7 linked regions of the Coturnix japonica genome follow. The protein of the gene in region 3 purifies or fractionates together with the protein of the main gene of each other region. This does not show direct contact. Links are inferred from orthologs where the notes say so. Each region holds a gene or a part of one and is shown on either strand. Other genes may lie near its edges. The genes, in order: CTDP1, MED26, POLR2C, MED19, MED9, RPAP2 and RPRD1B.

Region 1 (3,865 bases), on a different chromosome or scaffold from region 3:
TTTGCTGCATCTCCTGCTGGCTTCTGGCTTGATTGTTCAGTAAATAAATAGTTCCTCGCTTTTAGGAGTAGTGAACTAGCACTCAGTTACTGGATATTTTCGTACAGGTTCTTTGGTATTACATTGGATACCAGTAGACTTGCAGTACGTGCTGTCAGACTGTACATTTTATTTTCAGTTGGTTCATTCAGTTTCCGTAGCTGAAATGTTGTAAACATGATTGTTTTCTACTGTGAACGTTGTTCTGTAGATTTCTCTTGTGTTTTTATTTATCTTATTGCTCGGTTAGCACCAAGGCTGTATTTCTAATTTACTACTTGTTCAACAGTAATGTTTTCTGATTTTGCTGAGTAAGACTCAGCTTTCTTTATTCAGCAATTAGCTTTTCTCCAGCTAATAGTGTAATTAATGGCTAAAACTGTGCGGTATCTCTCAAGGCTGAAATCCTCGTGAAGTAAACAAGTAAAACACTAACTCTGTATGACATTTAATGGAAATGTGCTATTTCTTCCAATTGAGCATTTTTAGTCTGGGTGCTTCTTCATGTGAGAGCACCCTCCAGGTGCTTTCCCTACCAAGCTGTTTTCCAGCTGCCCCATCCCCAGCATGTCCTGATGCCTGGGGCTGTTCTTCCCCAGGTGCAGAATTCTGCACCTGTTCTTGTAACTCCATGAGGTTCCTGTCAGCCCAGTTCTTGAGCCTGAGTCCTTCTGGGTGGCATCATGACTCTGATACCTCAGCTACTCCTCAAGTTTTGTGTCATCTGCAAACTTGTTCCTACCACCCTGTACGGAAGGAAAAATAAATCTAACATCATAGTGAGCAGGTAATCAGCAAAGCAGCCGCACTGTGTCTTTTGGGCCCAGTAGAACCCATAATGGAAAGGCAGAGCAACACAGTGCTGTTCTCCTACCATTGGACATCTTGGACCCTGATTTGTCAGTTGAAACAAGGAAGGTCAGGTGTCACTGAGCCAGACAGCAAGTATGGTCTTCTGAGAATTAATGGCTCTGGACGAATGATAACAAAAACATCATTGTATATATAGAAATTGCTTTGTATTTCAGTTTTGCTTAGAAGCTCAGAAGTTTGACTTTTAATCTTCATATCTATTTCTTTTAGGTATACGTATTTCAAGTCAGTATTTATTAAAGATCTTTCTTGCTGTGTGGTACTTGTCTATACGCTTAGAAGTGAAGTGGCCTTTGCTAAATCATTACTTTTTTTGCTGAGGATACTTCGTTAATTTTTCATTCTTGCAAGTAGATGCATTCTCTAAGTGAAGCTTTACCTAACACTGAAAAGGACATCTAAGAGAGACCCACTTTGAGCATATTCCTCTGAAATTCTATCAAATGATCAAGGAGTAATTCTTGGAGGTATTTCTACAGCTCATTTTGAATTCTGTGCAAGATCTCAACTTTATTTTTGCCTCGGAAGTATATATCTGATATAAAATTCTGCTTTGGCAAAGAAAAGAGATTTTAGGGTTCCACAAATCCAAATTCTTCTGCTTATGGCTTTGTCCCAGTTGAAGTGTTAGATTTTTCCTTGGAGATCTTTCACAACCAGGAATATGATTCTTCCGGCGGAATATAGCACACATCAGCTTCCTGTGTAACGTCATGAGCTCAGCCCAGCAGTGCTGCTTCAAAGAGACACAACAAGGAGGAATGAAGCACACAAGTTGAGCAGCTAGAGCAGTCAGAGTGGTTGAGCAGTTGAGGCTTAATTTTAACATGAAAGAGATACTTAGATATTTCATATTCACATGGCAAAATAGAATGAATTCTGGTAGTTTCCCATTCTCGTGGCAGACTCACATTTTCTTGTGTTACCTGAGAGGAAGTTAAATTAACTGATTTTTTTCAAGCAGTCTTAAGTTTTGTTTCCATTCATTGTTCAGAGGAATGGGAGAAATGAAATCAATGGGAGAAATGAATTTAACAGCACTTTGCACCCGCAAGAGCAATTAAAAATCAGTAGTGGGGGTTGTTTGTCTCAAGCTGAAAAGATAGGAGTCCTTAGGCCTGTTTTTGTTTTTGTTTTTTTTTTTCCTTCTGTCAAATATTAGTGGTCTGTGTTAATAAGCAGCCAGATACTGTGATTCTTGATTCATAGACCTTTATCTCCATGTCTTTCCAGGGGCCATAAGCGCAAACTGGATGAAGATGATGCTGCCAGTGAATCCAGTAAAGAATCTAGCAATGAAGATGAGGAGGGAAGCAGTTCTGAAGCAGATGAGATGGCAGCAGCACTTGAAGCTGAACTGAATGACTTCATGTGACATTCGTGCAGAAGATGGAATTTCCAATTATATTTTCCTTCTCATAAGCAGATCAGACTTCAGATGAGTCCCTTATGTCAGTGCTCAATGTTTTTCCAAAATGTGTGTGTATATTTTGCAAAGCAACACAAGAGGTGACACGTTATTTTACAAAATCAGAAATAGATGTTTTTAAGGTGTTTTACTAAAGGAAAATATACTTTTTTAAACAAAAAAAAAGTATGGAATGGGACTTGGTGTGCTATGCCAAAGACATGTTATGAGCTCTGCAGAACCTTCATATACAGGACAGTAATACAAAGGTCTGTGCTTCAGCATACAGCAACTTCTCACAGTATTGCAGTCTGTGGTTTATTGGTAACAATCTGAAAGAACAGGATGAGATAAAGTAAGTGCGATTGCTTGAGTAGTACAGCGGGAACCTGATGAACTCATCATCCTTTTCCACAAATGAATACTATCAAATGTAAAAGGATTTTTAAAATAAATGAAAAAAAGAACAGTCTATATTTGTATAGATACAGAGAACATCGTATGCAAGCTTTGTGAACTCTGCACTTGACTCACTTGTCATTTGCTTCTGAGATAATGATCAAAAGTCATGTTTTTAAGTTGCTTTGTGGAGTAGTTGGATTCTTTAGGGACACCGTTAGGATTTTTAACTTTTCTTCTCTGTAAGCAGAAATTTAGCACAGCACACTGTGTGATCCTGTACTGCCGTAAGGAGCGTATTCATCCATTTGTGTTGTTCTTGGGAAGAACGAGTGCTACTTCAGTCTAGATAGGATTTAATTTCTTTGAAAAGAGATCTGATGTAAAGTTTTTGTATATTCTATTTCATATTTGACCCACAAAACAGATTTTCTTTCATTTAATAAAAATTCATTTTGTAGATTTTGTTTCCCTTTCCTGTATCGCAGAGGTCTGCAACAGCAGTTTGTTTGCGTCCATCAAATGTAAGGCGTCTTTCCATCTTACTTCTCCTTTTCTCTTCATGAAAACAATGGGAAACTTTGAAAACAACTGCAAAGTTAAGAGATTCTGGCAGATAACTGTGCAAGAGAAGAGAAACATTGAACTGCTGTGAAGTGTGTGAACTGTTTCATTCTGACATTTTATCTTCTCCCTTTAACTGACCTTTGAAGATACTGTAAGGGTTACTGCTGCGGTATTGAATTTCTGAAGCTAGAACTAAGGTTTATTCTGTTTCTAGCAATGGGAGAATGAGATTCTTCTAAAGCACATCAGCAAAAGAAGACTCATTAATTCAGATGTTGTGGTTAAAATTACTTTCTAGTTCAGGAATACTTAGCTTTGCCATCTCACAGTAAAATTGGGAGGATATTTTAGTACTCTGTCAGCTGCCTTACAAAGAACTGGCTAGTTTTTAAAGCTTCATAATGGCAGTAAAAGGAAGAGTGAGAAAACAGGAGAATCGTCTCCAGTTATTACTGCTTTTCCATTCAGAATGCAATGTCGTCATCTATGACATAAAAATAATGTTCTCAGTAAGAAAATACTGACCTTACAGGACATTTACACAGGTGCCACATAACTGAATTCTGCAGTGACCTGCTT
Region 2 (3,973 bases), on a different chromosome or scaffold from region 3:
GAATAGTTACAGTGAGCCATTGGCTGAGCGCTCCCATAGTGCCACAGGGCAGACAAGTCTTAAATGAACGCATCTCAAAACAACTGAGATTCCAATGCACAGCAATATAGAAGGAGAGGTGCTGCACCAGTGGTTTACTGTTGGATTCATGATGGACCAAAATACTTCAGAGATGCATTTCTGTTGGGAGTCACGTGGCTGTGCTGTAAACCCTAGTTGCAGTCCCAGGATGGCTGTTTTCCAGTTGGAGTTGAAATCCATCTTGATTTTAGTCAGTGCAGTTTGTGTTTTGATACATGTATCACAACATGGTATGTATTTCTCACCAAATCCAGTCTGTCTTCCTTTGAGGTGCTTTTCTGAAGTAATCGACTTGTAGAACAATTCTTTGCTTTCAGGCATGTTTTGGGAACAATCTCTTTGCTTCCTTCCACTTACGGAACCATGTTGGGACAACCTAGGAAAGCTCATTTGTTGGCCTTTTGAGATAGGGAGCAAAGATGGAGGAAGAAGATAGGACATCACGCTTTGGTTTGTGCAGTGGAGATTTATATTTGTAACATATGGATTAATTCAGCTCTTGCATCTGTAGCATTTTGTACCAGGCTTTTCTTAGGGTAAGCATTAAAAAGCAGGAATTTAACTTAAAAATGGGGTCAGAATTTTGTTTTGAATTATGCCTGTTGGTAAAACAAGTTTTGTGTTTTGTAGGAAACAAGGCTTGGGAGGCTTATCAATGAGGTGAGGAAGAAGACATCCAATGAGGAACTTGCCAAACGTGCCAAGAAGTTGCTGCGGAATTGGCAAAAGTTGATAGAACCTGTAACCCCAAATGAGGCGGTGCCAAGAGGGCTGCAGAATCCACCCGGATCAGCAAATGGTGGTGCTCACAACTGCAAACCAGAAGCACCCCTTCCTGCCGTGGCTGGGTCAAAACCTATCAGTGAATTGAAAAGCAGGAACGATATCCAGAAACTAAATTCTCCAAAACCAGAGAAATTGGGAAATCGGAAAAGGAAAGGTGAACACAGGGATGGGCACCAGGGCCCCCCTCCCACCAAGGTCTCCAAAGTTAGTCATGAAATATTACAAAACTCTTCATCCCCTCCAACAAACGGAATTGGAGGTAGTCCCGAGAGTTTTCCTAGTCCTGTAGATGTAAATCTACATGCAGGGCCTGAAAGCAGCAGGACAGAACTTAGTGAAAATGATAAACACAATAAGATCCCAGTAAATGCTGTAAAACCTCACACCAGTTCTCCAGGACTCGTAAAACCTTCAAGCACTTCCTCGTTATTAAAGACTGCAGTGCTTCAGCAGCATGATAAATTGGAAGAAACCACCGGGTCGCACCAACCCAAGAGTCCGCGCTGCTCCTCGTTTAGCCCTCGAAATGTTAGGCACGATACTTTTGCTCGGCAGCATACCACGTACTCACCAAAGGATTCAATGCCTAGTCCATCTCAAAGGTCTCAGTTCTTAGATACTGCACAGGTGCCATCACCGCCACCATCCTTGATGCAACCATCAACGCCTCCAATGCCAGCTAAAAGACTGGAGTTCTCTCAGCAATCAGCATCTGAGGTGTCCCAGCACTGGCAGGAGCAGCAGGTACCTTGTGACAGCCAGCACAGGCACACAGCAGGGACACTTCCACAGCACACATCTCCCAGTTGCAAAACCAGCTCCCACCCGGGGGAATCTCTCATGTCGCACATCGGCTTTTCACAGGACGCTTCAAAAATGGACAGTGATGATGCTGCTTCAGGTTCAGATAGCAAAAAGAAGAAAAGGTACCGACCTAGAGACTACACAGTCAACTTGGATGGGCACGTGACAGAAGGGGGTGTGAAACCTGTGAGATTAAAAGAGAGGAAGCTCACTTTTGATCCCATGACAGGACAGATAAAACCTTTAACACCGAAAGATCCTTTGCAGGTAGAAATCCCTGCACTTACTGAACAGCACAGGACAGAAACGGAAAAGCAGGAGCAAAAACCCAACCTGCAAAGCCCCTTTGAACAAACGAACTGGAAAGAATTGTCCAGAAATGAAATAATTCAGTCATATTTAAACAGACAGAGTAGCTTGCTGTCTTCATCAGGAGTACAGACTCCAGGAGCTCACTACTTCATGTCTGAGTATTTAAAGCAGGAGGAAAGCACTAGAAAAGAGGCTAGAAAGACTCACGTTCTGGTTCCTAACAGCAAACCTACAGACTTGCCTGGGGTCACGAGGGAGGTCACGAATGATGATCTCAACAGAATACGTGAACATAACTGGCCAGGCGTGAACGGTTGTTATGATACACAGGGTAACTGGTATGATTGGACACAGTGCATATCTTTAGATCCACACGGGGATGATGGTAGATTGAACATCCTGCCTTATGTCTGCCTAGACTGAGTAACAGGTTTGCTAAAATGCTTTTACATTCACAGTTAGCGAGAATGGCAGACACTATGCCACTTAAAGATGGAGAAAGCCTCCTGTCCTGGACAAATAGGCCCAACGAGCAGAGGGTGAGAGGGAGCTGGTTACGTACAGCTCTTCCCTTTAAATTCTCCTTTTGTGAAATGCTGCTACCAGTTTACTAACAATTGCAAAGGAAGGCATACGAAGGTTGAGAAAACTGAGTTCAAAACTCTCTAGCGAGCCAGCTATAAAAAAAGTGTTAGTCCCCAAGAAGTGAAGATGATTTCCAGCACTTTCTGAATGCCGGAATCTGACGACAGGCAGGTACAGAGAAAATTGTGGAAGTTACCTTAACAAAATATGCATCTATTTATTTGACTTGATTTGGATTTTTATTTGGCAGTGAGGTATTCAAGAGACGATGTGCAAAAACTGTAGTTTTATTTGTATGGCATCTCTGAACATGATTGTGTTTTTTTTTAAAGTCATGTGGTACGGAGATTGGCTTTTAAACAGCAGGTGTTGCACTGCAGGCTGGGAGACCAGCTTCAGCTCAACATTCCATGGGCATCCACATGTTTCAGTCTGGTTTTGGTTTAAATCCAGTCTCTGAGAAATGCTGCAAAAAAAAAACCCAGATATTTCCTGACATTTTTGATCCCGCCGCCACCAGCCAAATATTTTCCTCCTTTTCCCTTCCTGCAAAACTACTAGGAAACAAAAAACTAAATAAAAAAATCACCTTTTCTAGAATCTAAATGTAACGAGGGTGCTACAAGTCCGTAACTGTACTGTGAGAGGGAAAAAGGAAGCCTGTTTGTATGCTGGAAATATACTTGTTACCATTCCTTTAGATATTGTTTGCCTTATGGATATCCATCATAAACGCAATTTGCAAAAACAAAGAGCCTTAGTGAATGTACAGTACCTAGACTTCTGTGTTCCTGGGATGCAGAAGGGAGCAACTTTGCTATTTGGTCCTTTAAGTGGACACATTGTGATATAAATGTGGAAATAAAAAAAAATTTGCACAAAGCAGTTTGTGAATTATTTATATTGAACTAATTTATTTTTGAAGATCTGCTCCATTCCAAGTAACAGAACCCAGTGGAGCCGTGCGGGTCCCACCGGGCAGTGCCAGCCGCTGCTGTTAGGGACGTAGTGATGTCTTCCAGTTGTGTTGGTGGTATTTGGTCACAGGTTGGATCGTTTTGAACTCTGGTTGCATCCAGGGGTGAGAGACTGATGACTGTTAATGTACCTCAACGTCTAAGGAATTGTAGTTCATCTTCTCACAGTAATTTTGTAATATATTGTTCCTAATTGTTAAAAAAAATATATATTTCTAACAGCAGCCTAATTCAGTATAGAAAGCTCAGAATTTCTATTGCCTGTAATTGCTTTAACGTTCGGGACAAGTTTTCTACAGTCCCCGCTGCTGGATTTGTGTCCAGGGCAGAGCGGGAGGGGACACCAGACCAAAAACATGCTGAGGTTCAGCGCTGTGCATTAACTGCTCTGTGCTGAGCCTCAGTGCAATGGGAGAGCTGTGGTGAGA
Region 3 (2,929 bases):
TGGTCTGGGCTGTTGGCTGGGTGGTTGCGAAGCAGGAACGTCTCTGTGATGTGGAATTTCAAATCAGGATTTGAAATAATTTTAGGCTTCGTTGTGGTGCCACAAAAACTCTCTGGTTTAATTTCTGTAATGCTGGATGTTAAGAAGTGACAGGCTGAACCTGCGTCCCTCTGTGGTGAGGCTTTACATGTCTGGGTGGCCCAAGGCAGCGCTGATGCAGATTCCTTTGGTGGCAGACTGGGCTGCATCCTCATGAGCCTGCTGTTGTGTGCAGTACCTGGAAACAGCCCTGGAGAGATTCTTGACAAAATCAGTGTCAGAGTTAGAAGGACCTAAAGAAGTGGTGATTGCTGTTGGAGCTGTGTGTTCCCTGATGATAATGGGTTTCTTTCCAAGTTCATCTTGCTTCTAGTGAAGACAATACAGAGACAGATGTCTCTGCTATCCAAGGATAGTTATTGTTTTGGTTTTAGTTTTGAGGCTGCTGGCAGAGTGCTGGAATGCAGCTGGACTCTCAAAGCAGACGTCATGGTGAAACAAGGTTCAGTCTCTGCCCTGTTTTCAGTAATGGACAGCGTGGCAAGTAACATGAAGGCTCATGAATGCTATATATTTGTTGCAGGTGGAAGGTTTTGTTGGAAAATGCAGTTTTATTGAGGACCACTGGTGACAGGACACGATGATCTTGGTCTCATTGGGTCTGAGGGAGGCTGGCAGGAGACTGTGGTGGGCATGGAGTTTTCTATGCTGGCTTCTCAGGCTGCTCAAGGTGGAGGAAATAGAAAGGGCTACATTAATGTGAACTTTTTTTCCATGATTTGATCCAGTGCTGACCTTCCCTGCTCTCATTCCAGGCCCAAGAGTGAATACTCAGAGATCGATGAGGAGGATGCTCAGGCTCCATATGACCCCAATGGGAAGCCCGAGAGGTAGGAAGCTGGATGTGCTCCCACTGCTGGGAGGAGGGGGATGGAGCTGGGTGCACTGCGTTTGCTGTTGGTGTGAGTTGGATGTGCTGCACCAGCGCAGAGAGCTGCTGCTCCCTGGAAAGCAAGGCAGGAGTTGCAATTAACTGGTGATGTGCCCAGGCCTGGCAGGTTTTGCCCTCTGGGTGACTCTTCAGAGTTCCTGTTACCAGGTAGGGCACTGCAATATTTGGTCAAGTGTCTTGGAGAGATGGCTTAGGGTGATGCTGAAGACACTGATGTCATCAGCAGTATTATTCACCCACGTGAGTCTCTCATGCTCTGATTGCTGCTGCTGCCCTCTCTACCAGGTGATAATGTGTTGCAGGAGTGCCTGCAGCCAGACAGCCAGTCTTAGCTTCCCCGTGCAGCTTTCACATCACATAGCTGAGCAGAGAAAGCCTCACAAGGGCTCTTGCATTTTGGAGGGTCGTGAGGGCTGCTATGAGCTCCATGGGAGTCTGTGGCTGCTGTTGTAGCAGGGCAGTGCTGGCTCATGCCCAGAGGGGAGCTCAGCATCTCCCTGCAGTGGGTCCTGGTGGGTTAGAGCTGCTGTGTGGGTGCTCTCTGGTTTTGTACCTCCTCACAGAACACTTGGTAACTTTCTCCCTGACTTGTAACCTCAGGTTTTATTACAACGTGGAATCTTGTGGCTCTTTGCGCCCCGAAACCATCGTTCTCTCTGCACTGTCTGGCCTGAAGAAGAAGCTGAGTGACCTCCAGACCCAGCTGAGCCATGAGATCCAGAGTGATGTGCTCACTATAAACTGAGGTGGCCCTTTGCAGGAGATTGTCCAGGCAGGAGTGATGCAGAAGGTTCCTGCCTCTGCCTGGCTGCACTCGGGGCTGAGGGATTGTCTCCTCATCTCCCTCTGCTTCTCCTGGTGCAGATCTGCTCGTTAGTAGCACTTCTCTTCCCAGAGAAAGCCATGATGACACGTAGGGTAAAGCAGGAGGAAAGTCTTTGCTGGGTGGGGGTGGGCTTTGTCTCTGATCCGAGTTTTGGACTGTGGTCACGTAGTGTTTGGGACTGGGAAGCATGTACCTCAATTACACAACCCTGTCCTGTTTGTATGTCTGTTCCTTAAGTGTACTGAATAAAGCCTTAACGCCTGTGTTCAGTCATCTCTGAAAGCTCATCTGGGGCTGCAGGAGGAGATAACACATCATTTAGTTCCCTCCAACAGACATTAACTTAATGAGGCCTGCTTTGGAGGGAGCGTTGCTCTGTAACAGCTGATTGCTGCTCTTGACCTACTGAGCTCTGTGATCTACTGAGGGTGCCAGAACCCCTGCAGCAGGTAGTGCTGGAACTGCCAGGGACAGGACTATGTTTAAAGCAGATGTTCAAGGCTGGGCTGCTAAGAGCCACATCACAGGAGGGAGGGTGGGCCAGGGAGACTTAGCTGTGTTTAAGGACTCCTTTGGAGCAGACTCTGCCCATGTGCTGTGTGCCATGGGGCTGGGCAGTGTCTGTCACTGGTAACCCCCAGCTGGCAGCTCTTTGCAGCATGCAGGGGCTGAGCTGGCTCTGTGCTTAACCAAAGCAGTGGCCAGAGGGCTCCAAGAGCTGCACAGTCACCCCTTCTCCCCTTCCTCAGCACCCAGGATGTGGGACAGGCTCCTTGCTTTGCTGAGAGAGTGTGAGCAGGACTTGCTACAGCCCTCTTCCCTCCCCAGCTCTTGCAGGGCTTCCTTTGGAATGTCCTTGCAGGCGCTGGAGGCAGAACAAAGCTTGGAGCCAAACGCTGCCTGTAGCATGAGGAAATCTCCCCTGCTCAGCATTTTTTGGCTCTCTGGCATGTGATACTCCAACATGTACTTCCCGAGCATGTTTGGATGGAACAGACAAACAGGAAGGGTGGATAAGGGTTGTTTATTCATTGAGCAATTCCTTAAAAAAAAAAAAAATAAGAAAGAAAAGAAAAAAGAAAGAAGGAAGGAAAAAAAAACCCTAATATTTT
Region 4 (4,057 bases), on a different chromosome or scaffold from region 3:
CTGGAAGAGGATGAGGGTGGGCAGCTGCTTGGTGAGGGGCGAGGTGCTCACCTTGTACCTGCAGGAGTAAGGCAAGAGGCAGACAATGACATCAAGGCACTTGGAAGGCCTGGTACCTTCCTCTACCCTCTCGGCCCCACAGACCTGGTGCTGACATCCGTGTATCGGCCAACATCCACCTTCCCAAAGTGCAGCCCCGAGCAGTTGTACCTGGGAGACAGAACACAGCTCTGAGTGAGCACTGGGCTGGGACCGACTCAGCAAGGCCTCAAAAGCAGGCAGCACTCACTTGAGAGAGAGGTCAGCGAAGATGGGGGCAAAGGACTGGCACTCACTGGACCAGTTGGCGAAGAACTCGACGATCCAGGTCACCCGCTTGTCTCGTTCCAGCTCCTCCTGCCACGCGAGTCAACAGGGGATGGTAGGCAGGGAGCCCGGCACCCCACGCCAACTCACACTGGGTAGGAGATACTCACATCTATGGTCTTATCGTTGAAGTACTTGATATACTCAGGTCCCATGTAAAGGGGTGGCTTGCAGGTCATCAGGAACACTGCAATAACAGCATCCCTGAGCCCAGCGCCCACCTGGAGCGAGGCCTCTGCCCCCTTTTTTCCACTTCTGGAATGCCCAAGAGACACAGGCTTAGTCTGAGGGAGGCTCCTCCTTCCCCAGAGCAGCCTGTATGGCTACAAAGACAGCAGCAGCACAAGGCAAGATGGCTCCAGCCCCATTTGAGGAAGGCAATGCACAGGATGGGCAGAGACAAGGCCTGACAGGAGCACTGTTACAGCCCCTGCATTACGGATCCCCCCCCACTTCCCCACGTGTCTCACCGATGCAGAGCGTGAGGTAGAGCAGGCCCATGCGGATGTCAAGACGGAAGAAGAGGATGGCGTTGGCCACTTTGCTGAACATGAAGATGTTCCCAATGTGCTGCTCCACAGTGACTGGGAAGGAGGGAAGAAATCAGAGATGGGGCCACGTCTCTTTTCACTCTCATCCCTCAACTGTTTCCAGTACAGAGACACCCCATCAGCAGCTTATACTCAACCCAGCACTGCCCCAACTCACTGGAGCGCCGGTTCTTCATCATGACGATGGCGCTGAGGAACATGAGGATCTCCACCTCCCGCTGCACAGGAGAGAAACGCAGTGAGCACCGTGACAGCCACAGCCACAGCCACAGCCACAGCCACAGCCAGCACCTCGGGCACAACCGAGCAGCCCTGCAGCACAACCACAAGGCCAAGCAGCCATTCCAGGCCGCTCCAGCCTTCATCCTCCGCCTGCCCTCGATCAGGAGCCGGGGCTGCGCACAGAGGGGCCGCCTCGGCTGCACCCAGCGCCGGTGATACCCGAGTAGGCCACGGCACAGGCCGGCCCGGTGCTGCCGCTCACCCAGTCGAAGTCGCAGGGGTTGCCGTCCTCCCGCTGTGAGGGCAGCCCGCGGCACAGCGGCGGGACCTTGCGGACGAGCAGGAATGCGGTGGCGAGCAGCGCGGACAGCGGGTAGTAGGGCCGGGCCAGCCAGCGGCACAGCCCCGGCACCGAGTACAGCAGCGCCAGCAGCGGGGCCAGCACCGCCATCTTGTCCTCCGGCCGCCCGCCGCGCTCCCATTGGCCGGAGCTGCACGTACGTCCGCGAGGGGCGGGGCGGCCCCGCGCGGGGCAGGGCGGGAAGATGGAGAACTTCTCGGCGCTGTTCGGCGGGGCCGAGCCGCCTCCCGCCGCCGCCGCCGCCGCGCTGGGCTTCGGGCCCAACAAGGGGCCGGGAGCGGGGGCCGCTCCGCCTCCAGCAGCCGCCGTGCCGCCGCCGGGAGACGACGCGGCGCGCAAGGCCGCCACCGGCCCCTTCTACCTGCTGCGGGAGCTGCCGGGTGCGGGCCGGGCCGCGGGGGAGGGGGGGGGGGCGCGGGGCCAATGAGCGGGCGGGACGCGCGGAGTGACGGCTCGTCGGGCCAATGGGCGCGGGCGGTCCGGCGAGGGGCGGGGCGCTGAGGGTGCCGGTCCGTCCGCAGGCGGCACGGAGCTGACGGGCAGCAGCAACCTGATCACACACTACAGCCTGGAGCACGCGTACAACAAGTTCTGCGGCAAGAAGGTGAAGGAGAAGCTCAGCAACTTCCTGCCCGACCTGCCCGGCATGATCGACCTGCCCGGCTCACACGACAACAGCAGCCTGCGCTCCCTCATCGAGAAGCCGCCCATCTGCGGCAGCTCCTTCACGCCGCTCACCGGCACCATGCTGACCGGGTTCCGACTGCACGCCGGCCCGGTGAGCACCCGGGGGAGGAAGGGGGGATGGGGGTAAGGAGGGGGTCCGCTGACATGAGCCCCTGCAGCTGCCGGAGCAGTGCCGCCTCATGCACATCCAGCCGCCCAAGAAGAAGAACAAGCACAAGCACAAGCAGAGCCGCACGCAGGACCCTGTGCCCCCAGGTAGGACCGTGCCCTGCTAACTCTGCACCCCATGTGTCCTGGTAACTCTGTGCCCCGCTCACCCCTCCTCTGCTTCCTGCAGAAACCCCCTCGGACTCAGACCACAAGAAAAAGAAGAAGAAGAAAGAGGAGGATCCGGAGCGCAAAAGGAAGAAGAAGGAGAAAAAGAAAAAGAAGGTAGGTTAGGAGGCAGCGTGCTGCTCTGCTCTGCCTGCACCAGCCCCGTGCCAGGCCGCGGCAGCACCACACGTTAGGCCTCCAGCAGGGCTTGGCACTGGGTTTCACAAGGCCTCACGCCTGTCCTTCTTCTGCAGAACCGACACAGCCCCGAGCACCCCGGGGTGGGCAGCTCGCAGGCCAGCAGCAGCAGCAGCTTGCGGTGAGGCTGCGCTGTGCTGCTCTATGGAGCTCCCTGCCCCAGCTGTGGACTCGTCCCATCACAGAGCACAGCGGGGAGGTGTGGGCACTCATGGTCCCCGCTTGCAGAGAACGTGGCCTTGCAACCCCCCTGCTTGCACTGTGTGGCTGATGGGGACCTGGTGACGCGGACGCTGCTGGAATGGGGGCTCCTACCACACCTAAGCAACGTGGTGCATTGGGATCTCACTTTTTTATTCACCTTTTAATTAAAGTCTGCTCTGAGGAAGAGCTGGTGCCAGTGGCGGCTCTGACTGTTGGCCAGCGGGGCAGGGCAAGGAGCAGAGGCCTTGTGCCTGTCCCATCATACTCCAGGCCTTGCAGCTCTCTGGGCTGTGAGAGAAGGCTCAGGAGGACACAAGTGACCCCAGTTCAGCACCATGTCCCCCAGGGCTGCCCCTGTGGGGGCTCCTACAGAAGAGCCAGAGCCTCACTGAGTCCTGGGACATGTTCCAACCCTGACAGCTCCACTTACCTGCACTGAGAGCGCTGTGCCCCAAAGTGCCCTAAGGAAGCACATCCCAGCTGTGAGGGCGCAGGCACTGGCAGCCCTGTAAGGCTGGGCCCGGCTCTCCTTGTCCCCTTCCTTTCCACTCCAGACGAGGGAGGGAAAGCTGAGAAGTGAAGGACAGGATCCTTCACGGACTCCTCCATCCCTGGACACCGCACAAAGCACACGCATGCCCGCTGAGGTGACTCATTAAATATCCTTTTATTCCTCGTTTTTAAAATGGCTAATCATAATAATAAAAAAAAAAACAAAAAACCAATGGCATGGCTCTGCGGAGGCCACAGGAGAGATATTGCCATAGAGAAAGAGTCAAGTAGTGCGTGAAGTTGCGTGGGCCCGGTGCGGGGTGGGCTCCCCAATGGGGCTGGGGGTGGCGGGGCAGCACTGGGCTCCTTGGCTGCGTTTTTTGGCATGTGATGAGAAAATATTGCTCGACAGGGATGTGCCTCTTCCCCACATGGAGATAAAAATAACCACGTGACAGCCAAAAAAAACCTGATCACCCATTAAAAAAAAAAAATAATAGAAAAAAAAACCACAAACCCTGGGGAAATGCTAAAAAAAACCAAAAAACAAAATATAGAGCAAAATGTGCAGGTGCAGAAAGGCTGCAGCCCTCACCTGCACACCAGCAGCTCCCCCGGTCATCGCCAGCTTCACACCACCTCTGTAGCCAGTGGGAGATGC
Region 5 (4,839 bases), on a different chromosome or scaffold from region 3:
GATTCCAATTGCTGTGGGAACACGTGAACCAAAATGGGAACGGAATGGTACAAAGAAATTCTGATTGACAGTGCTGTAGTTCTGCCTGAATGGTATCTGCATGTTGTCACCTACTCTAATGACTGCCTGACTCACCCATGAGAGGCAGGCATCCAGCAGCCTAGCAATTAGCCACACTCCTTGATAAAGTCTAGGGGAGAGTTAAAACCAGCACAGCACAGAATAAAATGACCCCTGAGGAGCCTGAATCAAGTCTTGCTTTAGAAACAGCCCATAAAACGACGTGCAGAAATGAACCTCTCTGCTCAGCCCCACACAAAGGCATTAGCATCCTGTACCTCCTGCTTGGTTCAGTCAAGGGCCATGAATCCCACCAGCCTTCCCGCAGGGATCTGCTCAGCAGGTCCTGGGCACCCCTGGGCTCTCCTGCACATTCCAGAACTGGTGACCAAGCCGGGATCTATTCTTGACAGTAGAACAATGTGAACAATTGCATCTGCTATATTTAGAGCGAGCAGTCAATAATACATACGCACAAACGGTTACCAGCGTTCTCATTTGATACATAAATAGTTCGCTTTTCAAAAGAAATTGTTTTTTAAAATGAAAATTACCTTTCCCGTCATCCCTGGGCTATAACTAACTGATGAACCCGGGAGCTGAATTCAAATAAAAAACAAAATTATCTGTGCTCTCTAAGCCAATCCAGGAAGGATAACTCACGACTGTGGCTGCTGTTATCAGTGCTACAATAGTGTGTATTGACAGAGCGGTTTAAACGCGGCAGCAGCAGTTTGCTGAAGCACACTCCTGATGGTGCACAGGGGCAGCACTGCTCACCCTCACCTTCCATGCAGCGTGTTCTCCATCACCCCCTTGCACTCACAGCCCAGGCACCCAAGAACCCCACCTCTCCCCTCCTTGCAGCTTCATGGATGTCTCAGCCCTGCTGCTGGATTTTTGCCTCCATTCCTTCAGGTTTCTCCAGTTCCAAGCCCTGAAAGCCCTTCTCTTCTCCAGGCTGAACTCCCTCAGCCTGCCTTTATATGGGAGAGGTGCTCCAGCCCTCACAGCATCTCCATGGCCCTCCTCTCCAACGAGGACAGCCAGGAACAGTTGGGCTGCACACAGGTCAGGGATGCTGTAGGTCACACTGTGGGGTGCTCAGTGTGGGTGTGCAGGGCACTGCCTTGGGAGCACAGGCCCGGCTCAGCTGGGGAACACCTCAGCAGCAGTGCAGTCCCATATCTGAGACCCAGTCCCAAAGCTTGACCCCGGGCTCAGCCCCCACACCCACCCTCACAGCCCAGGACCCAGGGAGGCCTCCGAGCCCCGCTCCGGCCCAGGCCTCAGCCCCAGGCCACGGCCCGCAGCATCCCCACACCCCAACCTCCTGCCCAGGCCCAAACTGAGCCCCACACACAAGCAGCATCTGATGCTCAGCCCAGGCCGCCGCCGGGGCGGTACAGAGCGGCCGAGCTCCGCCCCGCTCCGTCACTGCTCGGCGCCGGGGGCCGCCATGGCCTCGGTGGTGTCCGCAGGCCGAGGGGCCGCCGAGGAGCCGCCGCCGGCCGAGCCGCCCACCGAGCAGAAACCGCCGCCCGCCCCGCCGGCAGCAGCGCAGGAGGAGTTCTCCTTCCTGCCGCTCGTCCACGACATCATCAAATGGTAACGGCGGCCGCACAGCGCCGGGCCGGCCTCACCACGGCATCACCCCGCAGGGATGCTCCCTCTGCCCTTTCTCTCCCCGCTGGGGTCTATGGGGGGGTTGGCAGCTGCTCTGCTCTGAGCCGGGCCCGTAGTTGGGGTCACCGAGGTGGGGCAGGGCCGGGTGTGCAGCAGCAGGAGCCGTGCCGAGCTGTTATTGCCCCGTATTGCTGCTCTGATGGGCTGATAAGTAAAGGACGGGCAGTCCCAGGGCAGCACTGTCTGTTTCTGGGCGTTGGGAGAAAGAGGAAGGCTTGTGCAGGCTGAGTCATCCTCTTTCCTGTTCAAAATCAATGCTGTGGGGTTAAAGGTGTTCGTACGAGGGTCCTGACAACCAGCGTTTGTGGCCCAGGGTAACCCTGTCAGAAATGTTTGAGTTCCCGGTAGGGGCATCGCCCTGCTGTGACCTGGGCACGTTGCACAGTGATGCAGAGGGCACAGGAAGCGTGAATTCCCACTCCTTGTTGTGGGTCTGACTGCCCTTTCCCTGCACGCTTCTATGGGAGCTGAGGCTGCTTTGTTTCCTGCTGGGGTTCTGTGTGTCTGAGTACCCAGAAGAGGTTCACCCTTATTAACCATGCAGCTGGAGGAGCATGGCAAGGAAAGGCCGAATACCCCACAGACACGGCAGCCTAGAATCTAGCTCTCCTAGATTCAGGAGAGCTATGAGAACTCAAACCCACCCTCCATTTCCCCCCTGCGCTGCCACTGTCCCTGTGCTCAACCCTGCCTGATCCATCCAGAGGTGATGCTGAACCTGCTGCCATCTGTATATGTGTGCAGAGCCAGAGTGAGCCAGATCCACGGGCTGAGACCTCCCAGCCTCCTGTGTGTCACCAAGCAAGTCGTGGCGACCCACAATGACAGTGCTGGGATATCCTGTGCCCTGTCCCTCTGAGCCACCCACTCCCACTGCCCCGCTCCCCCCCAGGTTGGCACACAGCATTTCCTGCACGGGGTGAGCAGACGTAGGTGCTCAGAGCAGCACTGCAGAGGGGTCAGACGGCAGAGCCGAGCAGTGGGATGAGTTGCCTCATGTCCCTGACAGATGGCAAACGTATTATCCTTTAACGCCGCCGCCAGGCTCACAGCCCGGCCCTGCTGTTCTGACACTGACTCAGCCCTGAAGACATTTCACATCTCCAAGGTGACTGTGCTGGGGTGCAGTGATGTATCGCGTACATTTGCTTACATTCAAGGACACGTGTTCCTTCCTGTTGTTTGAGTCCCAAGAAAGTTCTCCCAGGCAGGGCTTGCTGTTACTTTCACCCTTGTATAATCAGATGAGGTTACCTGTGAGGTCCCTGTGCGTGGTGGGTTGTGCTGGTGTATCCAGGAGCTGCAGGTGGGACATGATGGAGTTATGATTTGTTCACAGCAGTGAAGGAGAGCTGGTGGGCAGCTGGGGAGGGTCTGAAGATCTCAGTCCTTGAAGGGAGATCCCAAGCACTGTGAGGCTGTGGCTGGACATTGCATTTAATCCTGTGTAACTGCAGGTAGCTGAACCTCTTCCCACTCTTGCTCTCCCCCCTGCCTTTCCATGCCTGCAGAGGAGCTGCTTCAATTACTTGAAAACTCCCATCAGAAACAAAACAACAACAAGCCTGAAAATAGTTATTCCTTCAAACCAACCAACCAACCAGGCAACCATCCATTCTTTGGATGTGGAGAAGAGAACGAGCTGTGGAAGGACCTGGTCGGCCCTTTGAATCCAGCATGCAGCTCGTGTGGATTAAAGGCAATGCCAACCCATCCTTCCCAGATGTGCAATGTGTGTGTGCCTGTATTTTTCCACTGTCAACTTGACCGTAAACGCCTGCATAATGGGGGTACATTATAGTACCAGCTGCGGTTTTATTTAGAAGGGAGTCATGAATATTTTGTTCCAACAGGCTGTTGAAATGAACGGGACCATCTGGTTAAAAGTTTTGCTCTCAGTCGTGTCACGATTCCCCAAAGTTCTAATCAGGCACCTCTCTGCCCTGGTCATGCCAAGCAGTTTTATTTTGGGCCTGGCTATTGAACAGGCTCCCAGCTTACAGGGGCCGTTAGCAGCCTGCTCTCGTTATTAGCGCTGCCTTGGAAGCAGTCTCGCCTTTGCCTGGAATGGTAAAACTCCTTGCTGTAGCTAACAAAGCTGAAGCAGATACTAATGAGGGTTTGAGGGCAGACGCTGCCTCAGACGACGCTGATCCTCGAGAAGCACGGAGCTGCAGAAGCAATTGTGCTGCTCTTAAAAAATAAGCTGTCGCTTCTCTTTATTAGGTAGACATCCCCGGAGAGTCGTTCTGAAGCTCCGAAATGCCGTTTTCTCTGCCATTGGACACACTCTGGTACTTTGGGGAACGATTCCTATTTTCTGCTGTCAAGCTGTTTGACTGCATCGATTTCTTGTATTGCTTTGACAACAGGTCACAGACGGGGCTGAGGTCTTTTTTCCCAGGTGCCCACACACAACCTGTGTGTGTGTAATCTTACCTTCCCCATATGGGAATTGAAACAGAGTGAGAGGCTGTGGTAGTGTTTGAAAGCTGCAGACCAGGTCTTAACCTGTAGGACTGCAATTAAGGTTACTGGATGGTGTGCTGAAAATGACCAGGAAACCAGTTTGTCCCAGCAGCTGCCTAATCTGTGTATGTGTCTCTGGTGGTTTTGTTGTGATAGGTGTGAATTAGATCCCAGGAGCAAAAGTTTCCCAGTGAATTCCAGCGTAAGCCCTGACCATGCTGGGAATGACAGTCCACCAGCAGGCAGAAGGTCTGTCCAGCAGGAGATGTGAGTCATGCCTCTTGTTTTCTCCCTTCTGCAGCATGGACAAGGATAGCCAGGATGTTCACCAGGTGCTGAACGAGCTCAAGAACAAGTTCCAGGAGATGAGGAAGCTGATCAGCGCCATGCCTGGCATCGGTGTGAGCCCAGAGCAGCAGCAGCAGCAGCTGCAGAGCCTGCGGGAGCAGGTCCGGACCAAGAACGAACTGCTGCAGAAGTACAAGAGCCTCTGCATGTTCGAAATCCCTAAGGAATAGGAAGGGAGCAGCTCTGCAGTCTGAGGCTGGGATGCCTCTTCTCCTGGCTGGAAAGGAGAGGTTTACTTTGTGGGGCTTTTTTTTGTCACGTTCCTGTGACGTTGTG
Region 6 (4,794 bases), on a different chromosome or scaffold from region 3:
ATCTATAAATATCTTAAGTGTGGGAGTCAAAGGGACACAGCCAACCTCTTTTCAGCAGTGTGTGTGGACAGGACAAGGGGAAATGGCAATAAACTGAAGCACACAGGAAGCTCTGCATCAAAACACAACAGAACGTCTTCATGGTAAGGGTGACGGAGCACTGGAACAGGCTGCCCAGGGAGGTTGTGGAGTCTCCTTCTCTGGAGATATTCAAGACTACTCCTGGACACCTACCTGTGCAGCCTGCTGTAGGGGGCCTGCTTTGCAAGGGGGCTGGACTTGATGACCTCTGGAGGTCCCTTCCCACCCCTACAGTTCTGTGATTCTGTGATATGTTCACTTTGACATGTTCTGCTGAGAGAAACAAGAACACTTCTTTCTCCAAGAGGGAAAACTTGGGAAAACAGTCAGGGAGAAGTGAATGAAACATGGAGACTAAGCCCAGATAGCAGCAAGGAGATCTTCTAACAAGTATCTTGTGTTCTGAAGCCATAGAGTGAACCTTTAATTGCACTTATGACTTTTATGAGAAGTACTTACGCATCTTTGTATTATGGCTTGAAGTTCATCAACTGCCATTATTGCTTGAGTTTGCTCTTCAGGCATTGAAAACTATTAGGAATTAAAAGGTACAGTATTAAAACACATTAAGTAAATGCAGAAATTTAAAAATAAATTAAAAAAAATCATGTTATTAAGACACCAAATAGAGAAATGAGAACAGTCTTTTAGCTACTGCATGGCCACATACAGTGGGAGCTGTATGTGCCTTCATATGTGCCTTCAGGTGCCTGCTGCCTTGTACCAACAGTGGTTTAGACCAGTCAAGACTACATATGCAACATTATTCACTTCCTTGCAGTGCTGGCCGATCAAGCATTCCATTTTCTTCAGGTGCAACAATTAAAAACTTCAGGTTTGGGGATTCCTGTTTGTTTAACAGCTTTGAGTACTTTCTTCTGCCTAAGGCTCGTTATACAGCCACTGTCCCTAACCCACCACCAATTTCCATACGCTGTCAGCTCTGCTGTTTTCCCCCCCAGCCCTCGGACACGTGACGGCACACACGGCGCTGCTCAGCTCCCCACGCTGTCAGGCCTTACGACTTAACCCACTTTCTAATTACATCTTTCCAGCGGTTCCAGCGGCAAACGTACAGCACCCAAATAAGCACAAACTTACTGCTGCTTATACTCAGAGCCCTCCCTCCTCTATTAAAGTAGCTTTCCCACGTGGGGTGCCACATACACGCCAGCACGAGGGGCTGCTAAGGTCAGCCTTTAACCCAGGGCTGAATTACAAACAAAACCCGCAAGAAGCGCTCCCCGCTCACAGCACCCACCGTAACCGCTCACACCGCGCTGCCGCCGCTCCTCGCTCCCGGCCCGGGCCCGGCCGACACGGCTCCGCCTCCGGTGAGAGGTCAGAGGGAGGGAGGCGGCAGCGCCATGATGGCGGATGGGAAGACGCCGTGCAGTGCGAAGGGGAGGCCCGGCCGGCGGCGGGCAGGTGAGTTCCGCGCCGCGCTCCGCCCGCTCCGCAGGCCGGTACAGTGAGTTAATGCAACTCCTGGCCGTGCCGGGCGGTAGCACGGCAGCACAGCAGCACGGCAGCACGGCCTGGGCTGGCGGGGCACGAGGGTACCGCGAGTTCGGGGCGGCTGCGGCAACACAGCGGCTGCACGGGGCAGGGCTCCCCGCAGGAGGTCGGATGAGGGCAGGCCGTGCTCACCCCGCAGCGGTACAAAACCGTACCTGACACTGCCCAGCGGTTATTGCCTTGCTGAAGGCATAGCCAACAACAGCGAGGCTCTGTGCATTCCAATGTGCATTCCAATGTGCTTGCAGAAGTCTTCGTGTTTTTTAAAAGTTCCAATGTTTTCATTGCTAAAGGAAGAACAGACACTTATATGCTTCCATGTTTTCGATTTCTAGGACATAAACGGTCGGCTGCCCCTAAAAATGAAGATGCTGATCAGAGGTATCATTTCTAGCAAACAACACACTGCGATCACTTTGCTTTGCTTCACTCTGGAACTGTGCTCTTTTCCTCCTGTGTTTTTGGCTTTGCCAGAGATGACTGACCTCCAGAGACACCAGCATCCACCTCCAGCAGGTTTTTGGTGTGATGCCGTGGGTCTTTTAAACAAACATCAACTTAGCATTGCTTAGAATAGGCATAGCCATCCTGTTTGGATAGAGCTGCACATTACATCTGAACAGGGCTGAAAGCTGCATCCCCTTTAAGCAGCATAGAACAACACAGTACAGGTGCCTCTGCCAGCTGCTCCCACGTGTCAGACAGCCGCCCATCAGGGAGAGATGCCCAGAGGAATCCAGATTTGCAGTGGTGACACAGATGGCAGGAGAACAACTTTCCAGGGGGAGGTGGAGCTACAGGAGGTATCTCTGTTCCATCACCTGGCTGATGCACAGTTCAATTGGCCTGTCTGACAGAGTGAGAATAAAGTTCAGCAAAGGCTACAATCTACATATAGAGAGAGAATATATCAAAATATGCCTCACTGCAGATACATGGAAGGTACAGGAAAATACCAATGGGTGCATATACTGGAATAATTCTGTTGTGGTTTGACAATAAAAGTCAATACTTTTCCTGACTGGGGAGAAAATAAAGCAAAGAATCTTTTTGTTTGTCTTTAGTGGTTATTACAAAATTTATAGCCCACTTATTGCTTTGTTTGGCCAACTTGATGAGATGCAGAAAATATAAACTACTGTGTTTCAGAAAAGAAGATATCCAGGTGGGGAATTGCTTATGGGAGCTGCTTTCTGTTTCATTCAACATCTCTTACGTTACAGGAAAGCAGCCCTGGAGGCTTCTACTAGAAAAAAGATTGAACTTGAGAGAAAGGCACTGCGTATTGTTGAGCAGCTCCTGGAAGAGGACATTACTGAAGAGTTCCTTCTGAATTCTGTACGTGTCACAAGTTTTTGTGTTATTTTGTATCTTAGTGTCCAGCTGTTTTTTAAAAGTCCTTAGAACAATTTGCTGCAGTTCAGAGCAGACAAGTTCATCCTCTCTTGTCAGCTCTGTTGATGGCTGCCTTACTTTCAAGGGTTCTCCAGTGAAAATATGCTCCAGTTTTGTAGGATGAGATATAATTGTGAATCTCTCTCTATTAGCATACTTTATGCCTCTGGGAAGCACAAAAAGTTAAGTCCATATCATGCCCTCTGTGAGTTTAGCCAATGGTGCTCTTTACCCCACAGTTCAAGTGCTGTATATTAAACTTACAGTTATAAAATGGAAAGTATGTATTTGCTTATTTACATCTGAGTGTGAAAAGTAACAGATCTTCCAGTATTCTTGAACTATTTTCTTGTAATTGCAGGGAAAATGTATTACTCCATCTCACTATAAGGACGTTGTTGATGAACGGTCTATCATCAAACTATGTGGTTACCCCGTATGTCAAAATAAACTGGAAAATGTAAGTTGCTTTTTTTGTTTGTTTTTGAGTAATGTTATCATAAGAACCTAATCACATTTTTTATTCTCTTGCTTATTTTTTTCATTTTAAACTTAGAATGTTAAAATATAGATTAAAATGCTGTCAGGTATCATTTCAGTATAATGCTTCTGAAGTTAAAAGTTAAATCTGATTGATTGACAACTGTTGCTGTATAAGGGAATCAATTACAATCTATTTGGACAGTAATAAAGATAAATAAGGTGTGGTGTCATAGCTATCCTTTGTGCATGCAGAAACATTTTAATCTGTTCCTTCTGTACCTTTGTAAGAAGGGCTGATATGAAAGAGGTAAAACACATGGGTATTACTATGTGACTGCAAATACATCCCCTCCAAAAACAGACCTTACTTGTGTCAAAATCAGTCATGCCTAAATACAACGTATTAGAGCTTAAGTGGAACTATGAGTTCAGTTACATAACCATAATACCAGGTGTGATACAACCAGTTATCTGGGAAAAATAAATCATGAAAGGAAAAATAGGTACCGTTTTGGATTTCACATGTCCCAACAGAACTTGGAAACTATTACCTTTGATGTAAGCTCCCCTCTGGATTTGTCTGAATAGTGGCAGAGTCACACATGAACAGGGTTTCTTCTGTGACAGCTCCATTGGTTCACTCCCAGCAGAGGCTTTCTTGTAAACCTGAAGTTGCCTACTAAGATGTGAATGAATAATGAGAAATTGCAGTTCTAATGTCTAAGGAGATACAATACCAAGAGAGCTGCTGTAGTACGTAATTCAGTTAAAACTGAATACATTACTTATACTGAAAACGTGAATTAAAAGGAAAGTTTTATATAACATTGTGACAATCTTGCTGATGAAAGCATGTCATTTTAGGTGCCAAAACAGAAGTACAGGATTTCAACAAAAACTAACAGAGTTTACGATATTACTGAAAGAAAGGTATGGTAACAAGCTGTTTTTAGAATGTATTTAATATTGTCTCCACATCACAAATGCATTTTGTAACAGCATTCATATAATGGACTGAATCACAACTAATGCATGTGTATCTCATGAAAATCATTTTCATAAAGTAAGTAGTGTGTTTCCATCTCCAAAATGTTAAGAGTCATATTGAAAACTAAAAAAAAAAAAAGTTCTGCTGACCCTGAATGTTATTGCATGTCTTTTAAACTGTATGGCCATTTTACAGGGTTCAGAATTGCTCTTCGAGTGTTTTGGTGCTTTATTTGGTTTTTTTTAGTTATTACTACTGAAGATGTCTTTAATCATATTTTCCATCGTTTATTTCCAGTGCTTTTGCAGCAATTTTTGCTACAAAGCATC
Region 7 (3,882 bases), on a different chromosome or scaffold from region 3:
AAAACTACTTGCAAGCTGCTGCTTTGGGGAAATTCAACTTACTGCTCTTCTCCCTTTGCTGTAATTAAATCTAAAAATGTTGGCAACTACCTTTTGCTTGATTTCAATCCAGTGCGGCCAAACCTTTGTCTGATTTATATTTAGTGATCACTTGTGTTCTGAGCTCACATGCCAGTCTAATGTAACAGCTGCTGGGGTTGCTAATGTGTATCGTCTATCTCATGACAAGAAGCCTCTGTTTCACAACCAAACACTCCAAGCTTATCAAGCTGGGGTGGGAGGAAGCACATTTCAGCAGATTAGTAATACCTGGGGTGTTCCTCAGACTGCTGCCTTTGTCAGTGGGATGTGTCTGAATAACGCTGTGTCAGTTTCCTCCTTTGGATCTGCACAAAAGCCAGTTGTCTGGAGAAGAATATAGGAATAGAGCAACTATATAATGACAGTTCTGTCAAATATTCCACCAGGTCTCAGTGTCTGTGGGGTCGTTCATGTAACTTTTGTTGAGGTATCATGGCAGGATCAGTGGCTCTGAGATGCTGAAGCTTGTGGACTTCTTGCTGGGGCAGGCTGTGAGTCTGGGTGCAGATGGCAGCTCTACAGTCGTGCAGTAGCTGCACAGAGAACAACCAAAACCTTGCCACTTTTTCCTAGAATCCTCACTTAAACAAACAATCCTGGCTTAACTAAAAGCACTGTAAGTTAACCTGTGTTTGATGCTTGGTCTCTCGTCTCTTTCCTGCAGGAATATAAACAGAAGCTTGCTCGGGTAACCCAGGTCCGCAAGGAGCTGAAATCTCACATCCAGAGCCTTCCGGATCTGTCACTGCTGCCCAACGTCACAGGAGGTCTGGCACCTCTGCCGTCTGCTGGTGACCTGTTTTCAACAGACTAGAACAAATGGTGTCCCCTAGTTTCCATTATTACCAGCAAAAGTAAGAAGACTGTTGACTGGAAATCCAGTCTTCCCAGATGTACAGTAGGAAAGAACTTTCAGACCCTGCTTTCAACCTCTTGGCTGCTCATGCTCACCTTCTCTCTGTGTACACTGGCTCACAACGAGGGCAGGATAAAGAGCGAGTTTTTGTGAGCTCTTAAGGGAGTGGGGATAGTCCGTATAAGCAATTTTCTCTCATAATTTTTCCTTACTCTTTAGTTTGTTTGCTCTTAGCACTTGTTACCCCACGAAAGTCATGAGAATCGTGTACATATATGGAAAGTGTTCAAAGAAAGGCTGACCGTATAACATTTTCCTCTGTAAAACTATTGTATTATTTCAGATTGTCTTGCCTGTTTTTGCTGGGTCTCTGAAGCTCGTATCTGAAAGCAGTAGTGGCTAGTGGGCTTCGTAGGGGTGCGTGCATGTGTGTCTGCAGGTATTATATCATGTCAGTGAAGGACAAAGGCACCTACTGAACAATGGCACAAATATTTTAAATCTACAGTTCCTCATGCTGTTGTAGGCCTCACATAAAAAATAGTTCCTATTTGGCATGAACATAAATTGAAACTCACCACAGGCAATAAAAATAAACAGCTTTTCTTTGTGAATTAGAGAGCTTCATAATTTAAGCTCTGCTGAGCCATGCAGAACTGGATATTACCTAAACGAGAGTGGAAGTAAATTTTGTTCTAGCTACCTTAGATTTATACTATATTTTTCCTCTTCATTATACAAAATAAACGATCACAGAAGCTTTGGTTTAACTGAGAGGCTGGAGTGTGGTGGATTGTAACTGGCCGTCACCCAGTGGCAGATCTGCTCTGAAGGTGGTCATGCTGAAAGCATTCTATAAATTCTCCCTGTAGCTTTAGTCAAGTTAATTGATGAACAGAAGTTAAATGTGATATAAACCCCCCCGTTTTTTTCTTAATCTAGAAAGTAGACCCATATACACATCCAGCATGCACATGTGCTATATCTATGCATGTATTAGAAGGATGTACTTAATTTTGTATCACAGATTGTGAGTTGATTTTATTATTGGGGGGGAAAAATTAGAGTACTCTTTAATTTGCTAATGTTCTAGCTGCCATGGATGTCATTAGATTTCAGTTTGTGTGGTAGGTCTATCAAGCTGGACTCTCATCACTGAAAACCATTCCTGTCTGGGAAAATAATCTGTTTAAATCTAATATCTCCTGCTGTGGAACACCTGAAGTTTCTGGAAACACTTGGTCTGACAGCACAGGCTCTATCACAGAGAGGCTGAAATGAGTTACGTTGGTGTGCTGTGTTTGTGCCTCGCTCTGGTCTTAAGCTGCAGTTCTCAAAGACGTGAGAAGATACCTATAGAAATGCAAATCTTGGTCTGCATTAATTTATTTTATGGAGTATTAAGTAGCCAATTGACATTCAGTTAAATAACACCATGTGTTTGGTGGTTTGGTTGTTGAAAAGCTCCTGTGCTTTTCTTACCGATGTTTCACTTTTGTTTATTTTTTTTCCTGTGAAAAGGAAACTTCTTCCACCCCTGTTGCCCAGCCAGGCAATGCCTTTCTTTTTCATTGGCAGGAAACTTTACGATGGCAGTGAATTATATTTTCCATGAATTGGTTTGATCTTGCAACCATTTGTGGACCAAATGTTGCTTACATCAGGCACCCAACACAGTCTGCTTTTGCCAAACATTAAAAAGGGAATAAAATAGGAAAACAAAGATAATAATCAAGGGAAACCAAACAAAGCCACCAAAGCTCCAAAATCCCAAACAAGAAGATGAATTTCTGTCCTGCCACAGCTCCCGGAGTTACCTTGAGGTTGCTTTAAGCAGTGATTGCTTTGACTGTGGATTGAACCCATATCCACTGTAAGACAAAACGTGTTGCCATCTCACGCTGTTGTTCTGGGCAGACGTCATGTGAGGAAGCGGGCTGTCTGTCTTTTCTTATTCTAGAAATGTTTGGACTTGTTGGTTGGTTTTTTTTTCCCCTAAGTGTGAGTGTGTTTTCTTTTGCTTAATTTAAATGAAGTCTCGTAGGTTTTACTTTCCTTTTAATGGGCAAAGGACATCTGGTGAACTGAGTAACGTTCTCTGAAGGTCAAACAGATTTTCCCAAGGTTTGTCTCTCTCTCTTTTTTTTTAATGCTAAAATCTGTATATTAATGGTTTTAGGAATTAATGTAGGCATATTGGCTGCCATTTGTGACAGCAGTATATTCTGAAATGTCTCATAGATCTATATTTTTGAATAAAGAGGGTGTCGTTGAATAGCGCTGGTTTTACTTGCTTCATTTGCAGTGCAGGTGCTGCTTGGACTCACTGTGGGTTTTGTTTGGGTGTTTTTACCCTCTGCATTTAAAGGACAGGAACTGCTGATCGGTCCTTATGGCAGAGTTTGAAGATGTGACCATTACTTGGACAAAGTCGAGCTGTGATCTGCATGTTGTGGCAGTACTTACACTGAATGGATGCGCAGCGTTCTTAGGTCATTGCATTCTACTTTTATTGCAGCATTCCTCAGAACTAACCTCTGATAAGAGAAGCACAAGGCACTGAAGACTTCCGGCTTCCAAGCTTATAAATTAATTCAGGTTATATGGAGGATGAATTAATAATTAGGTTTGGATACAAACAAACAGAAACCAAACCCAAACAGGAGCTTGGAAACTGACTTTCCTGTATGAAGCATTGAGAGCTGCTGCTGTTCCTGCAGGGTTTTGATGCTGTCTAATCAAAGCCTTTCCTCTGTAGAGGAGGAGGATCTTCACATCTTATTGTGTATTAATTCTCTTAGAGGTTTTGGGGGGGAGCTTATGGGTTCTTCACTCCAATTAACTGCTATTCAATAGTCTCTTTGGGCAAACTTGATAATTGTTTCATGTGCCTTGGAGAGTGTCAGCAAAGCTGCTTATAACTTTTAGCAATTTACGAATCTTTC

The links.
Region 1: the proteins of POLR2C (region 3) and CTDP1 purify together in Homo sapiens (affinity purification with mass spectrometry; 3 studies listed by BioGRID and IntAct, with this or other methods). This does not show direct contact. The link is inferred for Coturnix japonica from reciprocal best matches to the Homo sapiens genes POLR2C and CTDP1.
Region 2: the proteins of POLR2C (region 3) and MED26 purify together in Homo sapiens (affinity purification with mass spectrometry; 3 studies listed by BioGRID and IntAct, with this or other methods). This does not show direct contact. The link is inferred for Coturnix japonica from reciprocal best matches to the Homo sapiens genes POLR2C and MED26.
Region 4: the proteins of POLR2C (region 3) and MED19 purify together in Homo sapiens (affinity purification with mass spectrometry; 4 studies listed by BioGRID and IntAct, with this or other methods). This does not show direct contact. The link is inferred for Coturnix japonica from reciprocal best matches to the Homo sapiens genes POLR2C and MED19.
Region 5: the proteins of POLR2C (region 3) and MED9 purify together in Homo sapiens (affinity purification with mass spectrometry; 3 studies listed by BioGRID and IntAct, with this or other methods). This does not show direct contact. The link is inferred for Coturnix japonica from reciprocal best matches to the Homo sapiens genes POLR2C and MED9.
Region 6: the proteins of POLR2C (region 3) and RPAP2 purify together in Homo sapiens (affinity purification with mass spectrometry; 3 studies listed by BioGRID and IntAct, with this or other methods). This does not show direct contact. The link is inferred for Coturnix japonica from reciprocal best matches to the Homo sapiens genes POLR2C and RPAP2.
Region 7: the proteins of POLR2C (region 3) and RPRD1B purify together in Homo sapiens (affinity purification with mass spectrometry; 3 studies listed by BioGRID and IntAct, counting the BioPlex papers as one, with this or other methods). This does not show direct contact. The link is inferred for Coturnix japonica from reciprocal best matches to the Homo sapiens genes POLR2C and RPRD1B.

Annotation. Positions count from the first base shown.
Region 1 is NC_029517.1:72,180,982-72,184,846, forward strand, and holds the end of CTDP1 (RNA polymerase II subunit A C-terminal domain phosphatase), read left to right. Parts: intron 1-2,145; coding exon 2,146-2,287; 3' UTR 2,288-3,181; downstream 3,182-3,865. UniProt on the Homo sapiens protein: Processively dephosphorylates 'Ser-2' and 'Ser-5' of the heptad repeats YSPTSPS in the C-terminal domain of the largest RNA polymerase II subunit. This promotes the activity of RNA polymerase II.
Region 2 is NC_029543.1:3,359,301-3,363,273, forward strand, and holds the end of MED26 (mediator of RNA polymerase II transcription subunit 26), read left to right. Parts: intron 1-711; coding exon 712-2,406; 3' UTR 2,407-3,089; downstream 3,090-3,973. UniProt on the Homo sapiens protein: Component of the Mediator complex, a coactivator involved in the regulated transcription of nearly all RNA polymerase II-dependent genes.
Region 3 is NC_029526.1:1,904,160-1,907,088, forward strand, and holds the end of POLR2C (DNA-directed RNA polymerase II subunit RPB3), read left to right. Parts: exon of another isoform or gene 1-854; coding exon 855-929; exon of another isoform or gene 930-1,420; intron 1,421-1,591; coding exon 1,592-1,736; 3' UTR 1,737-2,090; downstream 2,091-2,929. UniProt on the Homo sapiens protein: Core component of RNA polymerase II (Pol II), a DNA-dependent RNA polymerase which synthesizes mRNA precursors and many functional non-coding RNAs using the four ribonucleoside triphosphates as substrates.
Region 4 is NC_029520.1:7,805,102-7,809,158, reverse strand, and holds MED19 (mediator of RNA polymerase II transcription subunit 19), read left to right. Parts: upstream 1-1,661; 5' UTR 1,662-1,684; coding exon 1,685-1,880; intron 1,881-2,021; coding exon 2,022-2,278; intron 2,279-2,345; coding exon 2,346-2,442; intron 2,443-2,524; coding exon 2,525-2,619; intron 2,620-2,756; coding exon 2,757-2,825; 3' UTR 2,826-3,090; downstream 3,091-4,057. Other genes in the region: TMX2 (thioredoxin-related transmembrane protein 2), read right to left, coding at 1-58, 145-210, 290-396, 477-553, 837-950, 1,075-1,135, 1,402-1,590. UniProt on the Homo sapiens protein: Component of the Mediator complex, a coactivator involved in the regulated transcription of nearly all RNA polymerase II-dependent genes.
Region 5 is NC_029529.1:4,803,867-4,808,705, forward strand, and holds the start of MED9 (mediator of RNA polymerase II transcription subunit 9), read left to right. Parts: upstream 1-1,484; 5' UTR 1,485-1,519; coding exon 1,520-1,668; intron 1,669-4,516; coding exon 4,517-4,733; 3' UTR 4,734-4,839.
Region 6 is NC_029523.1:12,310,036-12,314,829, reverse strand, and holds the start of RPAP2 (putative RNA polymerase II subunit B1 CTD phosphatase RPAP2), read left to right. Parts: upstream 1-1,407; 5' UTR 1,408-1,448; coding exon 1,449-1,509; intron 1,510-1,934; coding exon 1,935-1,980; intron 1,981-2,822; coding exon 2,823-2,937; intron 2,938-3,355; coding exon 3,356-3,454; intron 3,455-4,341; coding exon 4,342-4,407; intron 4,408-4,762; coding exon 4,763-4,794. Other genes in the region: GLMN (glomulin), read right to left, coding at 541-606.
Region 7 is NC_029535.1:8,680,259-8,684,140, forward strand, and holds the end of RPRD1B (regulation of nuclear pre-mRNA domain-containing protein 1B), read left to right. Parts: intron 1-745; coding exon 746-895; 3' UTR 896-3,212; downstream 3,213-3,882. UniProt on the Homo sapiens protein: Interacts with phosphorylated C-terminal heptapeptide repeat domain (CTD) of the largest RNA polymerase II subunit POLR2A, and participates in dephosphorylation of the CTD by RPAP2. Transcriptional regulator which enhances expression of CCND1.